2 linked regions of the Macaca fascicularis genome follow. The main gene of each other region encodes a partner of the protein of the gene in region 2 in a complex. Links are inferred from orthologs where the notes say so. Each region holds a gene or a part of one and is shown on either strand. Other genes may lie near its edges. The genes, in order: THOC6 and THOC3.

Region 1 (4,558 bases), on a different chromosome or scaffold from region 2:
CGATGCCCCCTCTATCCATGTGGCCCTGGCTCACCTGTATGGAGGCTGCCGATGCCACAGCTCCTTACACCCCTTCAAAAGGGAAAATACCAGTTGACCTCAAAGGCTCTCTCTGGGTCCCGGCACCCCAGCCCTTTCCCGAGCTCAACTCCTTACCTTCTTGAGCATCTCCGCCCAAAGCCAGGCCTTCACCTCCCCATCCCCAGCACTAAGCAGATGTCGATCGGTGGAGACCATGCTATAGACAGGCCCATCATGGGCTAAAGAGAAATGCAGAACTGAGTTGACCAATTCCACCCAAAGTCCCGAAGCCAGACTCCACAGCTATACCCACCTTGGAAAGTCACCACCGGCTTCTTACTTTCCTCTTTGGCTTCGGAGCTCAAAGCAGCGGACAAGCTGCAGGGGACAGCGGAGGGGACCCAGGAGTCAGAAACAGGGACATCCGTCCCATGAGGGCCAAGTGCCAGGGCTAATGGGTGGACAGCGGCAGAGGGTACCTGAAGATGGCAATCTGCCCATAATTGTTGCCAGCCGCCAGAAACTTCCCACACGGTGAGACACTCTGGGAGAAGATGGTCATATGGAGCCGCTGCAAGGCCTGGAACACCTCTGTCTGCAGGGAAGAACTGGATGAGGCCTGCCTGGGATGTATGAAACCTCCCAGCCACAGACTCCTTCCTGCTTCCCCCAACACCTGCCAGGCTTCCCACTGTCCTGACTTCTCAGCCCTCTTTTGAGGCGGCCCGGCCCCAAGCCAGCACTTGCCCATGCAGTCCCATGGGCGGCTCCAAGAAGACACTGAAGAAGGGGCGAGTCGAGGTGATGCCTCAGGGACCTCTGAGCAAGCACCCAGCACTCTCCTACCAGCTTCCTCAACTGTCAAGTGGAGCTCACAGAAGATTCCATCACCATTAGATGAGCTAGTGTATAGACAAGAGCTTTCCATGGGGCTGTCACTCAGTGCTGAAGCCGGGTGTGGTGGCTCATGCCTGTCATCCACTGCTTGGGGAGGCCAGGAGTTCGAGAGCAGCCTGGTCAAAATAGTGAGACTCCGTCTCAACAAAAAATTTAAAAATGTGGGGCCGGGCGCAGTGGCTCACGCCTGTAATCCCAGCACTTTGGGAGGCCGAGGTGGGCGGATCACCTGAGGTCTGGAGTTCCAGACCAGCCTGACCAACATGGAGAAACCCATCTCTACTAAAAATACAAAATGAGGCCGGGCGCGGTGGCTCAAGCCTGTAATCCCAGCACTTTGGGAGGCCGAGGCGGGTGGATCACGAGGTCAGGAGATCGAGACTATCCTGGCTAACATGGTGAAACCCCGTCTCTACTAAAAATACAAAAAACTAGCCGGGCGTGGTGGCGGGCGCCTGTAGTCTCAGCTACTTGGGAGGCTGAGGCGGGAGAATGGCGTGAACCCGGGAGGCGGAGCTTGCAGTGAGCCGAGATCACGCCACTGCACTCCAGCCTGGGAGACACAGCGAGACTCCGTCTCAAAAAAAAAAAAAAATAAATAAAAAATAAAAAAAATAAAAAAAATAAAAAAAAATAAAAATACAAAATGAGCTGGGAGTGGTGGCGCATGCCTGTAATCTCAGCTACTTGGGAGACTGAGGCAGGAGAACTGCTTGAATCTGGGAGGCGGAGGCTGTGGTGAACCAAGATGGAGCCATTGCACTCCAGCCTGGGCAACAAGAGTGAAACTTCATCTCAAAAAAAAAAATGGCCGGGCGCGGTGGCTCAAGCCTGTAATCCCAGCACTTTGGGAGGCCGAGACGGGCGGATCACGAGGTCAGGAGATCGAGACCATCCTGGCTAACACGGTGAAACCCCGTCTCTACTAAAAATACAAGAAAATTAGCCGGGCGAGGTGGTGGGCGCCTGTAGTCCCAGCTACTCGGGAGGCTGAGGCAGGAGAATGGCGTGAACCCGGGGGAGTGGAGCTTGCAGTGAGCCGAGATCGCGCCACTGCACTCCAGCCTGGGGCACAGAGCAAGACTCTGTCTCAAAAAAAAAAAAAAAAAATGTGGCCAGGCATGGTGACTCACACCTGTAATCCCAGCACTTTGGGAGGCTGAGGCGGGAGGATCACCTGAGGTCAGGAGTTCGAGACCAGCCTGGTCAACACGGTGAAACCCTGTATCTACTAAAAACACAAAATTAGCTGGGCATGGTGGCACACGCCTGTAGTCCCAGCTACTCAGGAAACTGAGGCAGGAGAATCGCTTGAACCCAGGAGGCGGAAGTTGCAGTGAGCTGAGATCGTGCCACTACACTCTAGCCTAGTTGACAGAGTGAGACTCCGTCTCAAAAAAAAAAAAAGTGCTTTGCAGGAACTAGAAAATTAAAAAAAAAAATAGGGGTGGCTCTACTACCCCAACATAGAAAAACGTACTGATTTATAATCCCTACTCTCTGACTTGCGTTAAGCCCCTGAGGCACTTCTGGGTTACTCTCCCGCCCCCCGGTCAGCGTCTGAGTTCCACAAATAGCCCAGGCAAAATAGGACTCAAAGGGCACAATTCCCTGCCCGCCCCGTCCCAGCCATGAATGGACTACAAATCCCAGAAGGCAACGCGCCCCACGTCCGTCTCACCTGACCCAGCGGTACCGCGAGCGGCACAGCTCGCTCCATCTCCAGAACTACAAGTCCCAGAGTGCTTCGCGTGCGACGCAACTTCACGAGGCCTTACGTGCCTACAGCGGTTCCTCTCCGTGGCGCCCTACTGCCTTCGGCGCGAAGGGGGCTGCTGCGTACCGTCCTGAACCCCAGGAGCCGAGGTGAGCGCCGCGAAGACCCCCGACATTAAGAAGTGGTGTCCACCGCAGCCCCGCTAAGCCGGATACCCTCCCCCACCCCGAGGAGCAAGCCTGCCTTCCGCCACGCGCCGCCCTTCTTCGGCGCCCGCGCAGAACCTCGCCGCTGTGCCCGCCTAAAGCCACGCCCATCCTCGCTGGGCCACGCCCTCAGAGACTCCTCCCCTGTCGCCCAGATCCCACCCGCAGGACCCCAAAACCCAATGATCCTTCAGCAGCCCTTGGAGCGAGGCCCCCAGGGTGGGGCCCAGCGCCTCCCGCGGGCCGCCTTGGGGGTGACTCGGGGCCTGGACGCCAGGTGCGTGTGGGGGACCAGGGTGGGCCTGACCAAGGGCCGCAGGAGCTTTGGCTGGGTGCTCAGGGCTGGTCTGCAGGATGAACACGGGGTGGGGCGAATCGGTGGGGCTTAGGCGTGAGCTGAGATGGTATTGGGGCTGCAGTTCAGGGTCCAGACTTCCGAAGTACGCTGCTGGATGGCCCAGGAGAGGGGGGACCAGCACCAGCTGAGACAGTAATGGGCTTGGGGCTCCTGGCTGATGCTGCAGGCTCAGGCAGGCATATCCTTGGGAAGGGGCCAAGAGGGTGGGGTGCACCAGGCTCTCTTTTTTCCCCAGCTCCCCTCTCCGAGGAGCTGTGCCCATGAGCACCAAGCGGCGCCTGGAGGAGGAGCAGTGAGTTTGGGGGCAGGGAGGGACTCCCAACGAGAGCTCTGTCACCTCTGGTCCCCAACAGGCTGCCTCCTGTCTCAATATCCCAGCCTGCCTCTCTCCCATCTCTCCCCAGGGAGCCTCTGCGCAAGCATTTTCTGTCTGAGGAGAACATGGCCACCCACTTCTCTCAACTCAGCCTGCACAATGACCACCCCTACTGCAGCCCCCCCATGGCCTTCCCCCAAGCCCTGCCCCCACTCAGGTAGGCTCCTCCACTGGCCAGGCCTTCTGCAGAATCACAGGCGGTCCTCGCAGCTGACCTCAGGCCCTGCCTCATCGTGCCATTTTTAGCTCTAGCTGACCTCTGGGTTGTTTCTCATCTTCGCTCTTCGGAAAGTGCTGGGAACCCAGGAGTCCCTGGGGACCTGGACCTGGTGGGAGGTGCTCAGCTAGGCCAGCCTTAGCCCCATGCCCTGACAGTCATTTCTTCTTCTAGAAGCCCTTGCTCTGAGCTGCTTCTCTGGCGCTACCCTGGCAGCCTCATCCCCGAGGCCCTCCGTCTGCTGAGGCTGGGGGACACCCCCAGTCCCCCCTACCCTGCAACCCCAGCTGGAGACATAACGGAGCTCTGAGTGCTGGTGGACTGCCCCTCCCACCTTCCTTCTTCCCCACAACAGAAGAGACCAGCGACTCCTGCAAAGGGACAAGGTTCCTCCCTCTCCTGCAGACCAGGCATCTGGGCACCAAGACCTTCCCTCAACAGAGGACACTGAGCCCAACGGAGCTCTGGGATGGGAGGGGTGGGAGCATGGGAAGGGAGGCATCCCACCCCCAAGAAGAACTGAATAAAGATTGCTGAGCAAAGGAAGGCTTCAGTCTAGAACCTGGGGCTTTTGGGGATGGTGGAGAGGGCAGAGGTGCGGGATGCTGGGGTTTCTCCTCAAGATCTTCCCTGGAAAACTGTTAGGGCCAGCCAGGTCCTGGCCGGCTGAGTTCCAGGCATTGAGAATGTGTGAGTCAGAGCCTCACCCCCGCCCCCGCGGCTGGCTGACTCACTCCCTCCCTCCAGCTCAGGGGAGTCAGTCGGG
Region 2 (3,301 bases):
TGATGGGCAGACCATTGCTGTAGGCAACAAAGATGATGTGGTGACCTTTATTGATGCCAAGACACACCGTTCCAAAGCAGAAGAGCAGTTCAAGTTCGAGGTCAACGAAATCTCCTGGAACAATGACAACAACATGTTCTTCCTGACAAATGGCAATGGTTGTATCAACATCCTCAGGTGAGGGGGTCTAGCTTAGGGGACTGTCATATCTTTGTGCTGGGTGCTGTGCCAGATACGGAGATGAATTAGATGTGAGCCTATCCTGAAGGAGCTTAAAACACAAATAGAATCCTAACCTGTTTTAAGTACATTTGAGCTGTATATTTTATATACTTTATATTTTACTGAGTCCTTACAGAAATTCTAGGAGTTGATGGTTTGCTTCTCATTTGACAGATGAGGATCTGAGGGTGAGAGGTTACATCAGTAGTCAGCTAGTGTTTGCTGGAACTGGATGCACCTTGAATTATGACTAATTCATACCCTCTTTTTTTTGAGGCGGAGTTTTGCTCTTGTTGCCCAGGCTGGAGTGCAATGGCGCGATCTCGGCTCACTGCAACTTTCGCCTCCTGGATTCAAGCTATTCTTCTGCCTTAGCCTCCCGAGTAGCTGGGATTAGAGGCGTGCCCCACCACACCTGGCTAATTTTGTATTTTTTGTAGTTTAGAGTTTCTCCATGTTGGTCAGGCTGGTCTCCAACTCCCAACCTCAGGTGATCCACCCACCTCGGCTCCCAAAGTGCTGGGATTACAGGCGTGAACCACCGCACCCAACTGGCTAATTCGTACTCTTAAAGTTTCAACTTAAATATCACTTTCCCTTCAGGGGAAGCTCTCCCGCTACCCCAAGGTTAGAGGTAGGTTAGAGGCTTACTTTATGTACTTTCTGTAGGAAGCACTTTCCTTCTGGTTGTAATTGCATGGTTATTTGCCCATGTCTCCTGTTAGACTGTGAATTCCATGATGGTGGGGATGGTGTTTGCCTTGTTTAGTGTTGAATCCCTAATGTCTAGTCCTGCACCTGCTCCACATAGAAGGATCTTAGTGAATGTTTGTTCTCTAAATGAATGAAATTGTGGAGCTGAAATTCAGATCTGTTTAATTCTAGCCTTCCACTATCCCAGGTGATCAATGTGAGGCCAAGTGAGATATGTTCCGTGGGGAGTTGAAGGAGGGAGCTTGTGAACTTTATCTTGAAAGATAAGCAGAATTTGAAGAATAAGCAAAAGGGAAACATATAAGTGAAAAAGCAGGCATGAGTGAGCATGACTTATTTGCAGAGTAGTTCGGTCAGGGTTGTTGGGGGCATGCTGGCAGATAAGGGAAATAAGAGAGGGCATGATAATGGGAAGATGAAGTCTGATTTGGGACCAGATTATAAAAGGCCTTTATTTTATGCCTAGTATCTTGGATTTTATTTTGTAGGCAATGGGGATTCTATAATTTTTTAAGAAAAACCTTTTTATTATAAAACACAGATATTGAAAACCACATAACACAAATGTGTAGCTTAACGAACTCTTATAGGCTTAACTCTTGTGCAGCCCTGCTCAAGTCGAGGAGTAGTTCTTTCCAGCCACCCTAGAAGTCCATCCAGGTGTTTTGTCCTAATTACAACTCCCTTCCACAAAAGCGAACACTATCCTGACTTTTATGGTGATTCTTCGTAGTTTTTCTACCACATGTACAGCCCCTAGATACCCTAGTTTTGCTCATTTAAAAAAAAAATTGATACGTCTTTTGTGTCTCTTAAATTACTCAAAAGAAACTTGCTAAAACATAGCTGCTGAAAAACCAGACTGGTAACCTGTGGAGATTCTCCCAGTTTGGCTTTTGCTGATTCCATGTGCTGTGTATATGTTGGACTGTTGTATAAAGAGATGCTGCTTCTTGTCTGCAATTTGGTTACCCAGTAGTGCAGTTCATCTAGGGAAGGCAGGATAAAATTTTGATTCTGTTTGTCAGATGATGATTTCGTTTCCTGCTGCCTCCAAAGATGACCAGTTAGGTTTGTTTTTTGTTTTTTTTTAAATCATTATGGGCTCGTGTTTTTAAACATAGTTGATGTGTTTCCATCTCTTGTAATTGTTACGCCTATTGAAGCTCAAATTATCCCATCTTTGGCCAATAAAAACGTCTTCAAGTTGGTTCTTAAGCCCTTTTTTGACATAATCCCAGTCATCTTCTGTTTTTTGCTCTCTGGTTTGATAAGATGTTTCAAGTTCATCTTGTACAATCTTGCCCCAGACCTTTAATCAGAAAATTCTCCAAGAAGCCTTAACATTCTGGCTGGGTGTCGTGGCTCACACCTGTAATCCCAGCACTTTGGCACTTTGGGAGGCCGAGGTGAGTGGATCACTTGAGGCCTGGCAATCATGGAGAAACCCCGTCTCTACTCAAAATACAAAAATTAGCTGGGCGTGGTGATGCAGGTCTGTAATCCCAGCTACTTGGAAGGCTGAGGCAGGAGAATCGCTTGAACCCGGGAGGTGGAGGTTGTAGTAAGCTTAGATTGTGCCACTGCACTCCAGCATCCTGGGCGACTGAGTGAGATTCCACCTCAAAAAAAAAAAAAAAAAGGAGGCCTTACATTCTTTCACTGAGAAATCATACTGAAGTTAGGAATGTTCATTACCGTTGGGTTGGCCTAGGAATTACGTGTGTGTGTGTGTGTGTATGTATATAAAGATAAAATACCTTGTGAACTCACATTGATAACTTCCAATTAAAATTGAGGACTCCGGGGATTTTATTAAACCTCATCTATATTACAAATATATTTCTTCCCTTCCAAATTGAGTATTCTGGTTCTCAAGGGCACAAGGGATCATAGAATTAGAATATCCGATGGTTACTTATTACCTGTATCCCGTGGTAAACATACAGATGTCTCTGAATAACAATATTACTGCCACTACCACCAATGTGATGACTTGAAACAAAAAATGTTTTTGCTTTTTGCATACACTCTTTGCATTCTTCCCCCATTAAAAAAAATAGTACTATATGTTGTAGGAGTGTGCAGCTGTTACATATTATACCCTCCCTTTAAACCATGTATAGTTTTTGCAAGAAACTCTATATTCAGTGTTCAGCACCAGTCCTTATAAGTCTTGAGTCATTTTTTTTATTGAAGCTCATTCTCTAGTTAAGATTCCTCGGGAAGCGTTCATGGGAACATTATTCCTGGAGTTTTTATTACAACTTATTTATGTACTTATAAATCTTATAGATTTTATAAAACATTATTTTGCTTATTGTTTGTATCGTTATATTTCAAATTCAGTTTTGCTGGATGTAAA

Evidence for each region.
Region 1: THOC3 (region 2) and THOC6 share a complex: the UniProt entries of both Homo sapiens proteins name them as parts of the transcription/export (TREX) complex. The link is inferred for Macaca fascicularis from reciprocal best matches to the Homo sapiens genes THOC3 and THOC6.

Annotation. Positions count from the first base shown.
Region 1 is NC_088394.1:3,820,195-3,824,752, reverse strand, and holds the start of THOC6 (THO complex subunit 6), read right to left. Parts: upstream 2,923-4,558; 5' UTR 2,639-2,922; coding exon 2,600-2,638; intron 1,035-2,599; exon of another isoform or gene 765-1,034; intron 617-764; coding exon 501-616; intron 400-500; coding exon 335-399; intron 261-334; coding exon 157-260; intron 73-156; coding exon 35-72; intron 1-34. Other genes in the region: HCFC1R1 (host cell factor C1 regulator 1), read left to right, coding at 3,024-3,118, 3,435-3,491, 3,604-3,732, 3,967-4,102. UniProt on the Homo sapiens protein: Component of the THO subcomplex of the TREX complex which is thought to couple mRNA transcription, processing and nuclear export, and which specifically associates with spliced mRNA and not with unspliced pre-mRNA.
Region 2 is NC_088380.1:182,840,417-182,843,717, reverse strand, and holds part of THOC3 (THO complex subunit 3), read left to right. Parts: coding exon 1-177; intron 178-3,301. UniProt on the Homo sapiens protein: Component of the THO subcomplex of the TREX complex which is thought to couple mRNA transcription, processing and nuclear export, and which specifically associates with spliced mRNA and not with unspliced pre-mRNA.